3 linked regions of the Sus scrofa genome follow. The protein of the gene in region 2 interacts with the protein of the main gene of each other region in a pairwise test. Links are inferred from orthologs where the notes say so. Each region holds a gene or a part of one and is shown on either strand. Other genes may lie near its edges.

The links.
Region 1: the proteins of NUP62 (region 2) and HSF2 interact in binary tests that used the Homo sapiens proteins (3 or more experiments, as listed by UniProt). The link is inferred for Sus scrofa from reciprocal best matches to the Homo sapiens genes NUP62 and HSF2.
Region 3: the proteins of NUP62 (region 2) and FABP3 interact in binary tests that used the Homo sapiens proteins (3 or more experiments, as listed by UniProt). The two-hybrid records come from large-scale screens. The link is inferred for Sus scrofa from reciprocal best matches to the Homo sapiens genes NUP62 and FABP3.

What each region holds. Positions count from the first base shown.
Region 1 is NC_010443.5:40,145,353-40,150,945, forward strand, and holds the end of HSF2 (heat shock factor protein 2), read right to left. Parts: intron 3,717-5,593; coding exon 3,632-3,716; intron 2,937-3,631; coding exon 2,644-2,936; 3' UTR 1,915-2,643; downstream 1-1,914. UniProt on the Homo sapiens protein: DNA-binding protein that specifically binds heat shock promoter elements (HSE) and activates transcription. In higher eukaryotes, HSF is unable to bind to the HSE unless the cells are heat shocked.
Region 2 is NC_010448.4:54,941,053-54,948,246, forward strand, and holds the start of NUP62 (nuclear pore glycoprotein p62), read right to left. Parts: upstream 4,654-7,194; 5' UTR 4,533-4,653; exon of another isoform or gene 4,329-4,532; intron 4,103-4,328; exon of another isoform or gene 4,015-4,102; intron 1-4,014. Other genes in the region: ATF5 (cyclic AMP-dependent transcription factor ATF-5), read left to right, coding at 6,074-6,251. UniProt on the Homo sapiens protein: Essential component of the nuclear pore complex. The N-terminal is probably involved in nucleocytoplasmic transport.
Region 3 is NC_010448.4:87,941,089-87,946,742, forward strand, and holds the end of FABP3 (fatty acid-binding protein, heart), read right to left. Parts: coding exon 5,501-5,654; intron 3,421-5,500; coding exon 3,319-3,420; intron 1,971-3,318; coding exon 1,917-1,970; 3' UTR 1,915-1,916; downstream 1-1,914. Other genes in the region: ZCCHC17 (nucleolar protein of 40 kDa), read left to right, coding at 101-262. UniProt on the Homo sapiens protein: FABPs are thought to play a role in the intracellular transport of long-chain fatty acids and their acyl-CoA esters.

The DNA of each region.
Region 1 (5,593 bases), on a different chromosome or scaffold from region 2:
TCTAATTAAGTCACCAGCTAATACATTTTTAAAAATACTTAATAGTGAATTCTGGTATATAATTCTGAAGGACTTGAAAGAATTAAGCGACATTGCTGTAAAACCATTCCTTCTATTCTCATCCTTTTATTACTCAGCACCATATAAAAACAAAAAATTGATGCTACCTCTCATTACACTGATATAAACTTACCCAGATAATGAGACATTTGGGAAATAAAACCCTGATACCTGTTCACCCCATTAAAAGATGTATTTCTGGTAAAATTTTACTTAATAATGGTTCATCAAAATTTGAACCGCACTGTATCAGTGAACACTAAAAACTCTTAACAGATCAACCCCCCAAAAATTCAGAGACGGAACATAATAAAAGTTTGTTCCCCCCTCACCTGAAGTCTAAAATGAATTTCCAGGATTGACGGTGGTTTTCCTATAAGCAGTTATACAGGAAGCCAGTTTCTTCCTTCTCATGTGTATCCTTGGAAGCCACATACTCCTTGGCATCAAGCTAGAGACAGGTAAAAGGCAAGGAGGGTTGCATGGGGGAGGTTTTCACAGACCAGACCTATAAGTTCTGAACATCACTTTTCCTGATTCATTACAACTCAGTTACAGAGCTACTCTGCTTACAGAGGTGGAAATTATCCAATTGCATGATAGGAAATCATTCAGCAATCAGTTAACAGCCTCTGTTACATACTTTTATCCTGTTTTGATCAACTGAAGACAAACTTTGATGCTCAGAATTTTAGGTTACAGGAAACTATTTGAAATTCAGTTGTGGAGAAGTGTGGCAGTTATCTTCAATGTATAACTCACACATAATAAATGGATAAAATTCTTTGGACAAAGTGTAATGGATGATGGATATCAAATCACTATGGTATTTAGATTCTTTTAGATACATGTAAAAGCATGTAACAACTCTATTTTTAAAAATGGCAGTATTAACAATATTCTAAATTCCTCCCAACAACTTAAACATAAGATGAAAAATTTTAAATGTCACCTTCAAAGTACTAGGAAGTATAAAGTCTTCAAAATTATTTAAATACTTCTAGAGCTCCAAAATAGCCCCAATGAAAAAGCTTGATCGTATCCCACAGAGAGGAAGGGAAGGGGTTAATGAAAAAGTCTGAAATTCTCTGTCTCCAAACTCTTCACACTTTTCTAGGAAAGTGACCTCTAAAGTTTATGCAGAAAAAGTTCTGAGGTCTTGATTTAGTTCACCAAGATCTCACTGTCAGAGTCAAGTATTTTGGAATCTGTTAAGCAAGTTTCTTACCTCTCTGTGCTAGGCTTTATTTGAATTTTTAAATCATAGTAAGAGATGATTTAAAATTCTAAGGTATTAAGAGACAATAGAAATAGCCAATAGAAAGTCTATCTTTGTAATTCCTCATCTAACAGCCCTGTAAAATACTCAGATACTAGCTCAATGTTTCCAGCCCTCTGCTTGAAGGTGGAATTCTTCAAGTGAGAGTGCCCTAGCCTTGCCGTTAAGTCTCTCTAATCCTGAGCAAGTGTTCAAGAGGGAAGAAGTGATTTGACTTGTGTCTCTTACCTTCTCTCAGGGCAAAAATTACAGGCCTTTGGCATCCAGAGATAATGTTCTTACCTCATTTGAGACAATCAGAGGATATTTCTCTCGGTTCTTTATCAGAAACATAGAATGCAAGCCAGTATAATTTTTAAATGAAGAATTTAAAAACACATTAAATTTGGAGGCATTGTATTATATTCCTTGTTGTAATACACACTCTATCTTCTGAGAGGACGCACAAAGATCTTGGTATGACTTATATTAAGAATAATGGACAACAGGCAAAATTTATTGTTTATCTACTTCCTATGAAAAGGAAAAACTGTTACATGTGGGAATCACCTCCAACGACGACACATAAGACAATGGTACGCAACATTCATTATATTTATTTTACTAAATAGTATGCTTCAAAAAAACAGAAACGAACCAGAAACTTTTACTTAGAACTAGTCCAATAAGGTGGACAGGTTGCATCATCCCATCCCCTTCTTCTATGTATATGGAGCTGAAACTGAATCAGACAGTAAGCACTCAAGTATACATTGCCTTCCTTTTTGAACATGAACGAACTTCTCTGAACTGAGAAAGACAAATGAAATTTTACAAGATACAGGCACTTTATGTTCCCAGTTTTAAAAAGAAGCCAAGTGAAAAATACTTATTAAAAGCAACTGCAACAGAGAAAGCTTTAGGAGTCCTACCATTAGTTATAGTGACTTAACACTCAATGCAAAGAGATAGCATTAAACAAGTAAAACAAACAAACAAAAAGTTTAACTGGAGTTAATGAGCATATGTGCAAAAAAGAAATCCAATTTACCATAACTGGAGAAAAAATGGCCATTTGAATCCAACTTAAAGATATGCCAATAATGTGACTGAACACATATTATGCACCCACATAGCTGAGTAACATCTGAAAGCTTTGCAAGAGTGTGTAGTTAGTGAGAAAAGCAAAAGGTGCTTTACAATTCCACAGTATCTGATTAAACCAAACAGAGCAATTTACAAAAAAAAAGTACCAAATGATACTTTAAAATAAATAGTTCATCATTTTGATGAATATATACATATAGAGTCCACTTCTTAGGGATTTAGCTATCTAAAAGTGGCATATCACTATCCAGAGGTGCAGGAGCAAGTTCACATAAATAAAACAGTGTGGCTTCACTAGCTTCAGCTTCAGTCAATGGCTCCAGGCGAACAAGCTTACTCTGGGTTGGTTCTGGGTCCAGGCTGCTATCTAGAAGCTCATCAACTTCTATAGGTTTATCTACAGAGGACATAACTTCTGATGATGCCGTATTCCCCTGTTCAACAGCAGATGCAGGGTTCCCATCAAGGAATGCAAGAAGTGGAAAGGCAGTGTACTGGATAAGCTGCTTATCTGTAACGAAGATTAGAAAAGTGATCTTTTATCACCAACTTATATAGAGTTTAAGCTGAAGATTTAAAAAACAGATGCAGATGTACAATCACTATTCTTATATAACCAAACAAGAATTATGATTCTTTGTATCAATAAATTTAAAAACACACAAGTCAGAAAATGTAGTCTTTTATTCAACAATTAAGAAATCAGGGTTCTTTCAATTTCTCCTAAACGGGAAAATAAAACAAAACAGGAGACTTTAAGAACTACTACCACATCAATTCAATTTCCTTTACATGCTGCAACCTTGACACATTATGCCTAGAACTGAGACTAGTACAAATCTGTATTCAACTGTTAAGCATAAAAAGACCTTCACCTTGGCTCACATTAATTTCTACACAAAAATCTTTTTTTAGGGCCGCACCAGCAGCATATGGAGGTTTCCAGGTTAAGGGTCAAATAGGAGCTGTAGCTGCCGGCCTATGCTATAGCCACGGCAACTTCAAATCTGAGCCGCATCTGTGACCTACACCATAGCTCATGGCAACACTGGATCCTTAATCCACTGAGAGGCCAGGGATGGAACCTGCATCCTCATGGATACTAGCCAGATCTGTTTCTGCTGAGCCACAATGGGAACTCCAACTACACAGAAATCTTACTTTAAAAAAAAATCTACAGAAGCTAATACTACATTTATAACCTACCTGTTTTGGGTTTAGATTTTCTTCCCTCTTCTGAAACTGGTTGAACTACACTGCTCTTGGTAGTTTCTAATCCTTTATTTTCAGACTAAAAGAGAAAAAAATACATAAAAGTACTTGTCTTATACTTTATATGTTCCTGAAAAATAGCAAAAAATTAAAAGCTAATATAGCATATTAACACTGGTATATTATCTGAAAATATATGGAAAAAGGGAGCATCAGGAAAGATGAACTAGGAAAGGAAGAAATTTCATTAGAGGTAATAAGACTGGCTAAGAAAACTATTGCTGTCATCAAGTGGATGAAACAAAGAACCTGAACTAGGATGACAGTAAGTACAAAAAGGAGGGGGCATTTCAACAGAATAGACAGAATCTGTCAAGGTTAGAAGATGGGAATGAATAAAAGATGGCTAGTTTCAAAGTGTTAATGAAGAGATAATTCTTTAAACCATTAAATTCATTTTAAACAATTTTGATTTAAAATGTATTACATGTTTTTTTTTTTTTTTTTTTGCTCACGAACAGAATATTTAGCATAAGTAAAAAACACATTTACAGTAACTCAGGATGACACGATAACAACCTAAAAACTATTTATCCCTATGTTTGGAAGCCTCAAAGCTGAGGTGATGTTTCTTCATTTCCTTTTTGTGGCTCTTTCAGTTCTTTTCTGTCATTTAAAATTGCTTCTTTCAGAAACTGTCTTCTCTCCTTACATCTGATTGTAAGGGGATTAAATCTTTAATGTTAAGTTCTTCACAGTGCTCTTTTCAACGATGTTCAAACTGAGGTGCTGAGGTTCACCATTTTTCCTGAATAGCTGTTAAGTCCCAGATACCTGCATGCTTAAGTATATATGGTGTAACAAACATATTAATTCCTATAATTCCCCTGATATTCATCATAAAATGAAGCAGTACAAGTTTCCAGGATTCATAGATAATGACCCTAAGACAAAATAAAAACTACTTAAACTTTTCAAAAAAAATTATATAATTTTTCATTTAGCATTCACAATAAACATTAATGCAGTAATACCTTATTTTTCTACTTCCCAAAAAAGGTATTTTCCAAGGCTGCCACTGTAGTAATTCAAAAGCATATGAGAACCAAGATGACAAATGGGTTTCATCTCCCATGCAAATTTTAGCTTATTAGCAGTGGCCACTTAGATCACTATGCTAAGGAGTATAAGGTATTCTGAGTCATTAGGAAAGAGTATTGTAATAATCCATGTCATATAATACCTGTCATGTGCAAGGGAATGAGAGCTGATGTGCCCATTATTTGAAAATAATCTAGATTCTAGAACTATAATAAAAAGTCACACTCAATTTTTCTATAGCATTGTAAAGTAATGTGCAACTTGCTGTTTAAGTGTTATTTTTGAAAGCTTCTGGGAATATGAGGATAATTCAAGAACACAGAATGACTCGATGTCTAGCAAAAAACAAACAGCAGAGCACATTCATTAAATGAATGCATGATACGGGTTCATTCAACTTAAGGTCTAACATTCAATAATATCATTATTTACTGAAAGACGGCACTTCCATAGTCCATCGATTTTTATAATATAAACCTAGGCAAACTATGTCCACATGCCAACTTCAGCATGCTCCCTGTTTCTGTGAGTAAGGCTTTACTGAAATATAGCCACATTCATTCTTTTACATATTGTCTATGGCTGCTTTTGCACTGCAATTGCAGAGTTGAGTAGTTGTGACAGAGAACACTTGGCCTCCTACAAAACCAAAAATATTTACTAACTAGTATTAACAGAAAAAGTATGCCAACCCTTGATATAAATCATCCAAATACTGAATGTATAAACAACTTTCAACTTTATGGTTCAAAAATTCACGAATTTCTTTTTGTTTGTTTTAGGGCTGAACCCATGGCATATGGAGGTTCCCAGGCTAGGGGTCAAATTAGAGCTGTAGCTGCTGGCTTACACCAC
Region 2 (7,194 bases):
TCCTCTGGGCAGGGGCAGGTCACAATCAATAGAATTTGGCAATTGTGAACCACAGCAAACCTGGAGTGAAGGTCCAGGCGTGGTGGCCTCCAGGCAGGCTATGTCCTGAGCTGGGGGTCAGGGACCCCACACATCTGAGAGGAGACAGGCTCCCTCCGGGGCCTGCAGGGCGGTGGCAGCTGTACCGTGGAGGCCCGGGCTGTAAGCAGCAGTGTGACTGGACACAGGTCCTCTCACCTCTCAAGGCCTCAGTCTTGCCTGCTGCCAGACAAGCAGGTCAGCCTCTGTGAGCTGAGCCCATTCTTGGCATCGGGCCTGATTCTCAGGGTCCTGCACAGGGAGCTCTCCTTCCCCCCTCCCTGGCCCCCTCCCCTGCTCTGCTGGGGCCTCTGCCAGATCCTCAGCTCCAGGGCTCCAGTTGCCAGGTGTGCAGGGGGGCCCCCAGGGAATCCCCCCACTCCCCCTCCCCATCAAAGAGCCAGGGTGATGCAACCTGCCTGCAATAACCGCCTCACTCCCCAACCTAGCTCCTCCGCACTGAAAAAGAGTCCCCAGCAGCTCCACCCATGCTCCCAGCCCCAGCTGAGGAGTTGGAGGGCCTGGGGTACTGGACCCTTGGAGGTGTCTGGGAAGTAGGGGTGGGGGAGGCATCTGAGTCCTGGAGGGGCCATGGATCCAGATCAGGGCCAGGCATGGGGAGAGGGCTCAGGGCGCCAAGACCCGGGCTTACCGGCACCACTGACGACCCACTGCCCATAAACTCGAATATGCTGGGGAACTAAGTGCCCGCTGGCACCCGCTCAGCAGAAGGGACTCAGGCTGCTTGGGTAGGGCAGTTGGCATCAGGACTTAACTCTGTGGGAGCCAGCAGCTGGAGCGAGAGAAAGGCACAAGGGGCCGGGAGCAGGGACCAGGGGCTTCTCAGTCAGCATACACCACAAGCAACTGGCAACATGACTCCCATACCCAGTTAAGTTCGTCTGCAGTTGTTAAAAAGCATTCTACCTGGCCGTCCTCAAAACCCCATAATCTCCACCTACGAGCAAAACCAAATGGAGAGACAGTCCGTAGAGCACCCAACCCATACTCTTCAAGACCATCGAGATCCTGAGACAAGGCAAGTCTGAAAAAGCCTCCGCAGACAGACCAGAGGCAGCCAAGGAGACGCGACCACTAAGTGTAACGTGGCATCCTGGGGGGATCCTGGAACAGAGGAGGGGCGTTGGGGAACAAGTGGCCAAATCCGAGGACCAGGTGGAGTTGAGGCGATAGAAAGGGGCTGATGTTGACTCCAGTGTTGTGACAAGTGCGCCATGGCAATGTAAAGGCACCGACTTCTACTCCTCTGCACGGCCTTCACAGCTTTTCTATAAATCTACAATTATTCCAAAATAAAAAGTTTATTCAAAGAAAAATACTCTGCCTAGTCCACCCGTCATGACCTAGAAGGTCTTTTCAAGAGAAGAGTGGGGGGACTGTGCCCCCTCGTTGCCAACAGCCTGCCCAAGAGTCGACCCTAATCCTACCTGCTATGGCTCAAGTACCTACACTGAGGAGGGCAAGGAGAAGGAGGTCCTTACTTCTCACTTAAAAGGCCTTTGAAAGCACTACGGCTTAGCAATGGAGAAAACATATCCACCTCCGTAACAACAGAAACCGCTTATGTAGCACCTGATGTGTGCCAGGAACTAGGCTATGAGCAGGTGGCCTGGATTTACTCATTTAAATATCAGACAACACTAAGAAGGAGGCACTACGGACAGCCACTTACATCTGTATGTTTCTAGTCACTAAACTCCTGGCACTTTCTGTATGTTTCTAGTCACTAAACTCCTGGCACTTTCTAGTCACTTTTATCCTGGCACTATTTTTTTTTTTTTTTTTGGTTGCGCCCACAAAACTTCCCGACCAGGGACCAAACCCTCACCAAGTAATAACCAGAGCCACAGAGGTAACACCAGATCCCCAACCTGCTAGGCCACCAGAGGACTTCTGTTCTGGCACTATTAATGGAAACCGAGGCACAGCGAAACTGCCAGGAAGCTAATAAGTGGGGTATAGTCAGGGTGTGAATCCAACAACTTGCCTCCAGAGTCTGTGCTCTTAACTACTACTCCATGCCGCCTAGGTAATAATGTGGCCCCAAAGGACAAGTGCTCAAATACTGGCACAGTGGACAGGAAGTACTCTAAGGGAACGGGGTCAGATCCCAAAAAGGGCTTCCTGTAGGAAGAGCAGCCTGTACTGGGTATGTAATATATCAAATGATCAGTATAATTAACACTGCTGTATGTTACATATCAAAGTTATTAAGAGAATAAACCCAGAGTTCCCTTTGTGACTCAGTGGTTAACGAACCAGACTAGGATCCATGAAGATGCAGGTTCGATCCATGGCCCTGCTCAGTGGATTAAGGATCTGGTGTTGCTGTGAGCTGTGATGCAGGTCACAGATGTGGCTGGGATCCTGCATAGCTATGGCTGTGGCTGTGGCGTAGGCTGACAGCTGTAGCTCCATTTCAACCCCTAGCCTGGGAACTTCCATATGCCTCAGATGTGGCCCTAAAAAGCAAAAAAAAAAAAAAAAAAAAAAGAGAGAGAGAGAGAGAGAATAAACCCTTCCATATGTCATACCTTTGGCTCGGATCTGATTCCTGGCCTGTGAACTCATATGCCATGGAGTTGCCAAAGAAAAAAAGAAATATGTATTTTTTCTAAGTATCTATTTATTTACTTTTTTGGGTCTTTTTCGGGGCTGCACCTAAGGCATATGGAGGTTCCAGGCTAGGGGTCGAATCGGAGCTACAGGTGCCGGCTTACGCCACAGCAGCACCAGATCCAAGCCACATCTGCGACCTACACTACCGCTCATGGCAACGCTGGATCCTTATCCCAGTGAGCAAGACCAGGGATTGAACATGCATCCTCATGGATGCTAGTCAGATTCGTTTCCGCTGCACCACAATGGGAACTCCCTATTTCTATATCTTTAATTTCACATCTACAGGAAATGATAAATGTTCACTAAACTTATGGGTAATCAAATTGTTATACTGTACACCTTAAATTTATAAAGTTTAATTATATCTTGAGTAAAACTGGAAAAAAAAAAAGCACATGCACATGGAACAAAACAAAAGAGGCCCATGTATCATTCCAGGTAACTCAAGATCTGGGTCTCCCACCTTTGGATCTTGACTCAGTCTCATAACCACCACCAAAGTCCTGAAAAGTTGTACTCCAGGTGTAACGTCTAGATGTGGATGAATGGGGGAGGAGAGGGGCTTGCAGCAAAGACCCTCGTCTACGGGGTCTGGTGGAAGGCCCTGTGTAATGGGAGGGACTGGCCAGGAAGCCCCATCTCTTTCAGCAAATGGAACTACAGATCTCCCTAAGTCTGGCAAAGGTGGAAAACTGATCTGGGGGTGAGGGTGGGGTGCACGGAGGTAGAAAACCATTTGAAAGGACGTCTAGGTGAGGGGCAGGGACAGAAGAATGAACCAACGGGCCTGAAAGGCGTGCTAAGGATAAGGGCTAAGGGGAAGCCAGCAGGGGATGGACACGAGAGTCTGGGCAATGATGCCTTGCTCCCGGCAGCAGGATGGGGCTGAGCGTCCATCGTTTGAAATGGGGGAGGGCAGGGATGCTAGAGCGAAGGAGACACAAGAATGATCTATTAGCAGGTGTTGGATGGTCGAGTCTGGGGCTCTGGCCAGGGGAGTTGGAAGGGGTGAGACTGGTCCCCAGAGGTCCTTGTTATGGATAATAAAAGCGGTTGGACCAGGCATGAAGGAGGGCTGGTTTCACAGACACCGACTGCACGGATTTTCACAAACGACCCCACTAGGAAGAGGTGATTATTCTCATTTTACAGGTAGTTCCCTATCTACGAGGCTAGAGAATTTAAATTATTTGCCCAAGGCCACCCGCGCCCGTCTGCGATTTGAATGGAGCGCGGTCTGTGACTCAAACCAGATCCTAAGCCACAACAAGGGTTCTCAGAGTGCCGTGGCAGTTGAAGAGATCAGCACGTGGCTGGCCGGAAATTCGTGAAGCAAGAGAAAGGAAAGGAGAAATGAACTCGTGCAGGGATCGGGGAAGAGGTGAGGCTGAACCACCAGAATGAGAGGGAACAGAAAGCCGGACCCCGGATCAGAAGGAGAAAGGGGCCCCACCCGAGTGGGGGTGGTCCAGGGGGTCGGGAGCAAAGCAGGGCCAGATCCTCAGGTCAGAGGAAGGGGAGGGCTGAACGCCCTGGTCGGAAGTGGGGGACAGTCCCCGGGATCCCCGAGGGCTAGAGGCCAAGCCCGCCTCCCGGTTGGGGCAGCGCGGGGCGGGGCGCGGAAGGATCCGGGCACGCCGTGCTGCGCCGCCCCCGGTATATCTGTCCCCAGTCCCCCGGGCCGCCTCATTCCCCATCCTCAGATCACAATCTCTCCTCACAGTACCGCGACACCTCCTCCGCCCGCGTAGCTCCAGCCATGGCTCTGTAGCCGCGACCCCTCTGTGCCCCCGGCCAGTCGCCGTGCTCACCGCGCCTGCGCTCTCCGCTCCTGCCGTCTTTCTTCAGCTGAGGCCACCGCCGCCTCTTCTTTCCGCAGCCATGGAGTGAGTAACCGCTCGCTCGCCCCTCCCTCTCCAACCGTCTTTCCCGCCCTTTCCAAGCTCGCGGCCCTCACCACCGGGCTCGGGGGGGTGGGGAGACAAGAGTGAGGAATCACGGTCGCGCAGGCGCAGAAGAGACAAGACGCTCCGTTTGCGCGCTGCGGAGCATGCGCACTCAGCTGATGGGGGGAGGGTGCGTTCTTCCAGACAATGTTGGCGTTTAAAGACGACCACATGCGTTTGCGCCTGCGCACTAGCTCCCAGAGAGGGTGGGTTTCCCCCCTCCTCCCCGCTCTGATTGAGTCTGTCAATCAGCGATTGCTCAGATCCACCGGCGCTTGTATCTCGGAGCAAAGGGCTGACGAGCAGCAGCCGCACGTGCGCAGCACTGATCCCGAGGAGGGCGGAGCCTTGCGGGGGCAATAGGACAGCTCTGGGGCTGGAGCCTGCGCTTTGGCCCTCGGCGAGACAGCCGTGTACGGGGGTGGGGGGAGGGGGAGTCGGGAGCTGTTCTCATCCCGCCCCCCTCCACCCTCCGCCTCCCTCCAGTTTGCTCAGGCGTAAAAGCACGTCTTCCCTCCCTTTCTTTCAAGCAACTACGGGGGCGGGGGCGGGGGGAGAAGGCGGGGCTTAGAAACGACCAGTTAAGGGACGGGAGCTAGGATAAGAGACGTCGCGGAGGGTGGGGCGGGGGCGGGGTACCCTTTGGGAGAAGGGGCGTGGCTAAGCGCGCCGTGCGCTGAGGGGGTGGGGTTTATATTGAGAAAGAGGCGGGGCCTCTGGGAATCGTCGGGGAGGGTGGAGCTAATAAACCAGGGGGCAGGGCTTGGGGGGACGGGAGACCACTGCAAAATTCGAAGGGAAGAATGGGATTTGAATGGAGGATTTTGATGAAGGGGCGGGGCAGGGGGATTCCCCTGGGAACAGATTCACAGCAGGAATCTAGGGACAGGGTGGGGCCTAAAGGATATGTTTTAGGGCAAGAGGTGTGGCTGGAAGAAAATTCCCCTGGGATTGAGGTTTTTGTGTTTTTTTTTTTTTTTTTTTTCCATGAGAGATAGTATTATGGGGTGGGTGGGAGGGTCTTAAGGTAATTCCCCTGGGACACCATTATGTTTCAATATTGGAAGGATTGGGTCTAGGGAATTCTGAGGAAAAGTAAGTCGGGGCCTAAAGAAAATTCCCTTGGGAATGGGTGGGGTCCCCATTTGAGGAAAGAAAGGGCAGATGTAGAATTCCCAAAAGGTAAGGAATCCTGGGGACCTGAGGGGGTATCGCTTGGTTTCCCCATGGCCTTGGCCGTTGGCGAGGCTGGCCCCTAACCCACTCACTTTTGTCTCCCACTCGTAGGTCCTCCACTCTCGCCTTGGTGCCCGTCTTCGCCCAGCTGAGTAATCTCCAGAGCCTCCTGCCAGCTGTTGGTGCAGCCTCCTTCATTGCCATCTGTGCCCCGCACCCGAGCTGCAGCCATGTCACTCCTGGCGACCCTGGGGCTGGAGCTGGACAGGACCCTGCTCCCAGCTAGCGGGCTGGGCTGGCTCGTAGACTATGGGAAACTCCCCCTGGCCCCTGCCCCCCTGGGCCCCTATGAGGTCCTTGGGGGAGCCCTGGAGGGCGGGCTTCCAGGGGGGGGAGAGCCCCTGGCAGGTAAGGGTAGGCAAAGAATGGAGGTGGAGTCATGGAGTGAGCTGGGGTCAGGGGGCAGGGGAGAAGAAGAATTCATTCATTCGTGTATTTATTCCTTCAATAAATATTTCCTGAGCACCTATAATATGTCAGGCACTGTTAGGTGCTGGGGATACAGCTGGGAACAAGACCGACGTGGTGCCTACCCTTTTGGCGCTCACACTCTACTGGGGACAGACAAGAGACAAATGACGATGTGTGGGGATAAGCAGGAAACAGTAGCTGAGCTCAAAAGCGACAGCGAGGACTAGTTTACAGTGGGGAGCTGGGACACCCTTTCCAAGGCAGTAACATTTTGGCTGAGGCTTAAAAAATGGTACGGGAGTTCCCGTCGTGGCGCAGTGGTTAACGAATCCGACTAGGAACCATGAGGTTGCGGGTTCGATCCCTGCCCTTGCTCAGAGGGTTAACGATCCGGCGTTGCCGTGAGCTGTGGTGTAGGTTGCAGACGCGGCTCGGATCCCGCGTTGCTGTGGCTCTGGCGTAGGCCGGTGGCTACAGCTCCGATTCAACCCCTAGCCTGGGAACCTCCATATGCCGCGGGAGCGGCCCAAGAAATAGCAACAATAACAACAACAACAAAGACAAAAGACCAAAAAAAAAAAAAAAATGGTACGGAATGAGCCATGAAAAGACAGGGGGAGGAGTGCCCATTGTGGCGCAGTAGAAACGAATCCGACTAGGAACCATGAGGTTTCGGGTTTGATCACTGGCCTCGCAAAGTGGGTCAAGGATCTGGAGTTGCTGTGGCTGTGGTGTAGGCCAGTGGCTACAGCTCTGATCCGACCCCCAGCCTGGGAACCTCCATATGCTGCAGGTGCAGCCCTAAAAAGACGATAATAATTAAAGATGAAATCAGGTGTGTTTATGTGTGATCTAGTTTGCCATTTGAGAATGAACTAGA
Region 3 (5,654 bases), about 33 Mb from region 2:
TTCTTAATCCACTGCACCACAGCAGAAACTGCACATGCCATATTTTTAAAAGCAAATATGCACATACAATGTTGAGATTCTTGTTTATTTTTTTGTTCAGGAAAAGAAGAAAAAGAAACATAGAGACAGGAAGTCATCTAACTCTGACAGCTCAGACTCTGAGAGTGATACAGGCAAGAGGGCAAGGCACACATCAAAAGACAACAAGGCGGCCAAGAAGAAGAAAAAGAAGAAGAAGCACAAGAAGAAGCACAAGGAGTGAGAGTGGAAAGAGTAGAAGGGGTGGTTGAGAGAAGGAAACCGGAGCCTTGTACCTTGAAGCCCTGGCTCCTGGAAGGACTCACTAGTGAGAATGTGGCCTCCCACCCCATTTTCTCTCCCATGGAAGGTGGCTTCCCCTTAGCCACAGGCAGGTTTGGGAGTTAAGTATCAAAACCATCTGCCTGAACGAGTTGTTTCCTTATCACTCCTGGTCCCTCTGCAAGTGACCCCTGCAGCTCACCCTCTCATCGACCCAACTTCCTTCATTCAGCAGGAGGTCCTGTTAACCTCTCCAGCTGCCACTGCCAGAGCCAGATTCCTATACAGGAGTCTAGGCTAGAGCCACAGGTACTGCTGTGGAGGTGAGTCTGGCTATAGTTGGAGGACAGTGATTGGCCTGCTGTTGGTCTGCCCTGGGCTAATTGGTGGGTGATCTCTGTAGCATCCAACACAGGCGCAGAGGGAGACTGGCAGTACAAGGGAGAACATGGTAAGAAGTGGTGCTCACTTTTTCCAGTCCCCCAACACGATTCTACTGTGTTAGAAGCGACAGCCAGCAGTCACAGCCAGAAACCATTGTTTGCAGTGACTCAGCTTGTGTGTGACATTCCATCAGACCACTGAACCAAACAGCTCAAGCCAAGATCGTTGCTTTACTTTGCATTTACTACAGTGTGAGTCAAATGGTTCCATTTCAGGTCTCTGCTTAAATTCCTGGCACTAAATGGAAGTGTGTTTGGTTTTAAACTTACTGAGAGTCTTAACTGGTATAATCTCTTCCTGTAACCTCCAAACTTAAAAGTTACTGAGTGTGCATTAGTTGACAGAAAAACATTTAATATGTTACCTTAGACCTTGGAGAGAGGCCCAGCAAAGGTTCTGAGCCAAAGACACTGGCAGGTCCTAGCCTTCTTAGGAGATCACTTATAAGCCTCTCTTCTGTAATGATCAGATGACCTCTCCCCTAGGGCTGACTGGAGAGCCAGTAAGGATCTGTAACCGCAGGTAACGGCCTGGCAGAAGCTCAGCGGTCCTCTTGGCCAGTGGGCATTTTCTTGTGCCTGGCTTGTGTCCTGAGCCTACTTTCTGGAAAGAGACCACTGCCTTCCACAAAGGGCAACTGTCCAGACTCCAGGGCATTCAGTGCAGGACAGGCCTGAGGTGACATTTCAGAAGCCTTGCCACTGAGTGATTATTCCAGGCTGGACGAGCTCACTTGGCCATAGGAAGAGGGCAGTGTAAAGACAAGGTGTAGGTACAGCGGTTTAATTTCTTGTATGTGTAAGGTGATCATCTATCACTGTTCCTGACACTGTCCACTTCAGTCTCATCCAGTGCATCTTCCTGAATGGCAGTCATCTCTGCCCACTCTGACACACACTGAAACTGGAACTCCCAGAGTCATGTCACCAAAGACAAAGAGGCAGCTGGGTGGCCTTGGCTATTTTATTGACCTCAGAGCACCCTTTGGATGCAATTAAAAAAAAACAAACATACACAACAAGAACCGGAACTGAACGCAGGCTGGTGCAACCTGACCCCAGGAGAATATCCCCAAAGTAGATTTTTACAAAATGCCAGAGGAAAAAATGAGGCAATCTGGTGCTGAGTCCAGGAGTAGCCAATTGGCAGGAACAGTCGAAGGGATGGGCAGGTCATGCCTCTTTCTCGTAAGTGCGAGTGCAAACTGCACTGCCATGGGTGAGTGTCTGGAATAAAAGAGGGTCAGATTAGGGCAGGGGTAAGGGCACAGAAGGTACTGGGAGCACTCTTCACTCTGCCGGGGAAAGCCCTCTACCTTCATGCTAATAATCGTCATTTACTACCTACTACATGCCAGGTACTTGACATGTATTTTTTCCTAATGCTTACACCAGGTCTTCAAGTTCAGCACTGTAATTCCTCTCGTAGAGACTTGGGAAAATGAGCTTTGAGGAGGTAACTTGGTCAAGATCCTAGAGCATTTCTCTTCCCCTTGTACCATTCTTCTGTCATCCTTTGTGCCTAAGATGGTGCCTGGTACATAGTAAATGGGTGAACAAAAATGCCCAGAGATGCTTGGGGAAAGGACTCTACTAGGCCACCAACTCTCCATTCCTTCCCTAACTTAGGGCAGTGCCAGGGCCAAAACCCCATCATCCTGCCAGGCATCATGGTTTCACCATAACCTGAATGCCCAGTGAGTATTTGGTTCTGTATATCACATTCCCACCTGAGCCAGGTACCTCATTCTTAACTCTGCTGGGCCCCTGCCCTGTTTGAGTGCAAGAATGCAGTCAGCAGGTCACACTGACCCAGGAGGGTCTGCAGTGAAGATACTGAGGCAAAAACCTGAGGTGCTACAGAGTTAAGTGGTAGAGACCACAGCTGGCTGCTGTCTCTGCCCCTGGGGGTATTCAGTCAAGGCTCCATTCTTCCAGTGATGTCCCCAAGTGTGTCCCTAAACATGCTGCCAGCCTGATTGTTGCCTCCAACCCAGGCCATGGTCAGATAGGCCAGGCACAGAAAGCACTGAGAGGAGGTGAGCCTGAAATGAAATAGAAAGGGCTGTGCTATCAGCCAGGGCCCCACCATCACCAGCCTGCCTCTGCCCCAAGGCTTAGGAGATGAGAGCCTCTCACCAGGACCTGGGATCAGATTTGGCCCCGCTTTCTACTGCTTCCTGGGTGAAGCAGAATGAAACTAAGGCAATGGCGCATGCCTACTATAGTTCTCTCATGCCAGTGATCCTGTGCTCCTCATCCACCATCTCCCTCAGACTTCACAGCAGCCCTCCAAGGCTGGTGTCATTAATACCCACTTTACAGTTGGACATGGAGAACCTAACTTACCCCAAGTCATGTAGCCTATAAACTGTGATTTAAACCCAATCTTGTGTGAGTCCAAAGCCACTACATAAGAAAATTCCTACCTAATGCCTAATGCCACCCAGCCTTGCCTCCACCCTCCACTATCCCAGCTTCCACTGGTCCCAGGGAACCTTGGCTTTTCACAGTAGGGTTGGCTGAAGGGGCAGTAAGAACCAACTGGGTGAGACTCCAAAGTTGTCCATCTTACCAGGATGAGTTTCCCATCAACTAGTTCCCGAACAAGCGTTGTCTCTTGTCCATTCCACTTCTGCAGGTGGACAAGTTTGCCTCCATCCAGTGTCACAATGGACTGTGGAAAGAGGGTAGAGGCCTGAGCTGGGATTGAGGGACAGGAAGGGGGTGTCTGGTCACTCTGGCCACAGCAGACTCAGCCTCTAACCTAAACTGTTGATGGTGCTAGGACCAGAGCTCAGGTAGCCCACCTTCAAGCTAACCCCATGGGAGGTGTAGTTCACCACTGCTGCTTGGTGGGGGGAGGGGCCTTCAGGTGCTGGGCAGGGAGGGAGAGGTGGACAATATGGTAGAGTCAGACAGCCCAGCTAGAGAAGTGCCACCAGCCTTCAAGATGGGCACTTATCCTATACTCCAGGGGATGCCCACAGCCCCAGTCCCACTAAGATAAAAGGTGCATGTACCAGCCTAATCCCTGGGAAAGACTGGGGAGGAAGAATGGTCCTGAGACTCTCCAGCCTAATGGTGATCACACACAATGTCTAAAAGATTCTTGGGGGAGTTCCCATCGAGGCTCAGCACTAACAAACCTGACTAGTATCCATGAAGACTCAGGTTCGATGCCTGGCCTCGCTCAGTGGGTTAAGGATCCGGCATTGCTGTGAGCTGTGTAGTTCACAGACATGGCTTGGCTGTGGCTGTGGTATGGGCCGGCAGATGCAGCTCAAATTAGACCTCTAGAGCCTGGGAACTTCCATATGCCACGGGTGAGGCCCCAAAAAGCAAAAAAACAAAAAACAAAAAACAAACTCTCAGGAATGGGAGTTATTGGAAAATTAGGACTCTGCCCTGTATTCCTACTCCTCTTGGTCCATATCATGTGAGCCCTTCAGCTGACAAGTGGGCAGCAACTGCCTTGTCCTGGGGCTGGGTACCCTTGGAGTGTTCCACAGCCCTGGTTAAATGTCCACTTAAACTCTTCTGGGTGCTGCTGCCAGTCCACATCAGCTGGTTCTCATTTGGCAGCTCTCCCAGGTGTCTCTTCTAGAAGTCTGGGGGCTCTAAGCCAGGCTAGGGGACCGTGACTGAGCAGGCTTAATAGGAGAATCTGAAAAGGCTGTGTGTGTTTAGGGCTAGGGGTACACCCTTATGATCACCTTCCTCATTCCCATTCCCCCAGCTTTTTGTCCACTCAGAGCAGATTATTTCTAGCCTGGCCATCCCATAGAACTGTTGGCGTTTAATTGGATTTCTTGCCCCTCAAGAAGGTAGGCTACTTTAAGTTAAAAGCATGTGGTAGGACAGGCACCTCTCCATCTCTGGGTACTGTCCCATCTCTGCTGCCCGCTTCCTCCACAAGGAGGAAACTATTGGAGGCAGCTGTGAGGAAGAGGAAACAGCTGAGTAGCTGAATGATCGGGTCTGGTGAAAAGATACTACTATAGGGACACCCTGTAGAGAGCAAACCTCCCAGTTCTCCCTCTTCCATGCCTGGCCCAGGGGCTGGGAGGCCTGAGGCAAGCTGCTGCAGGGTAGCCGATCCTGAGAGAGGGTAGATGTCCCCTCCTCCTTGGAAGGAGGGGGGAGCTGAGGCTTGGCAGAAAGACACTCAAACACACCGAAGGCAATGCTCCATCCAGAACATAGTTTTTCCTGCTTGTGGGCTGGCAGCCTTGGAAACAGTTCCTCAGGGTCACTGGCCAAGCCCAAGAGGTGGTGGCTGGAGAAGCAGAAGCATCTGAGTAGGTTTCAACCTCTTGCCCCCAGCTGTCTCTGCTGCTAGAGGCCAGGATGGCCTATTTAGCAGAGGATTTGACTTCAGGGCATTGTCCTAAAGCACTTGAGGTTACAGCCATGTCCACATAACCCCCATCTATGGAAGGGGGAAGAAAGCCAGAGGTGTTGCATGCCAGGCACAAGGTCACCCAGCTGGAGCTGCAGCAGACACGGAGGTCAGAATATCCTGGCTTGATGCTGCCCTCGTCCAGAGGTAACAGGTAGATGCTTCCCAAGAAGGGAGGGAGGAAAACAAGAGGACAGGACATGCTTTTAGCACTCAGGACATCCCAGCACTGCACAGGCTTTAGGGACTTTGTTTCAATTCCTCATAACATCCTACCCCTCAAGGTGCAATAATAGGGTGCCATCCTATTCCCCTTCAGGGACTTTCATTCCCTGTGACACTTCCCTCAACTCACCTTGACCTTCCTGTCATCTGCTGTTGTCTCATCAAACTCCACTCCCAGCTTGAAGCTGATCTCTGTGCTCTTGAAGGTGCTTTGTGTTTTTATGATGATTGTGTCCCCATTCACTTCGATGATTGTGGTAGGCTTGGTCATGTTGGCCACCTGC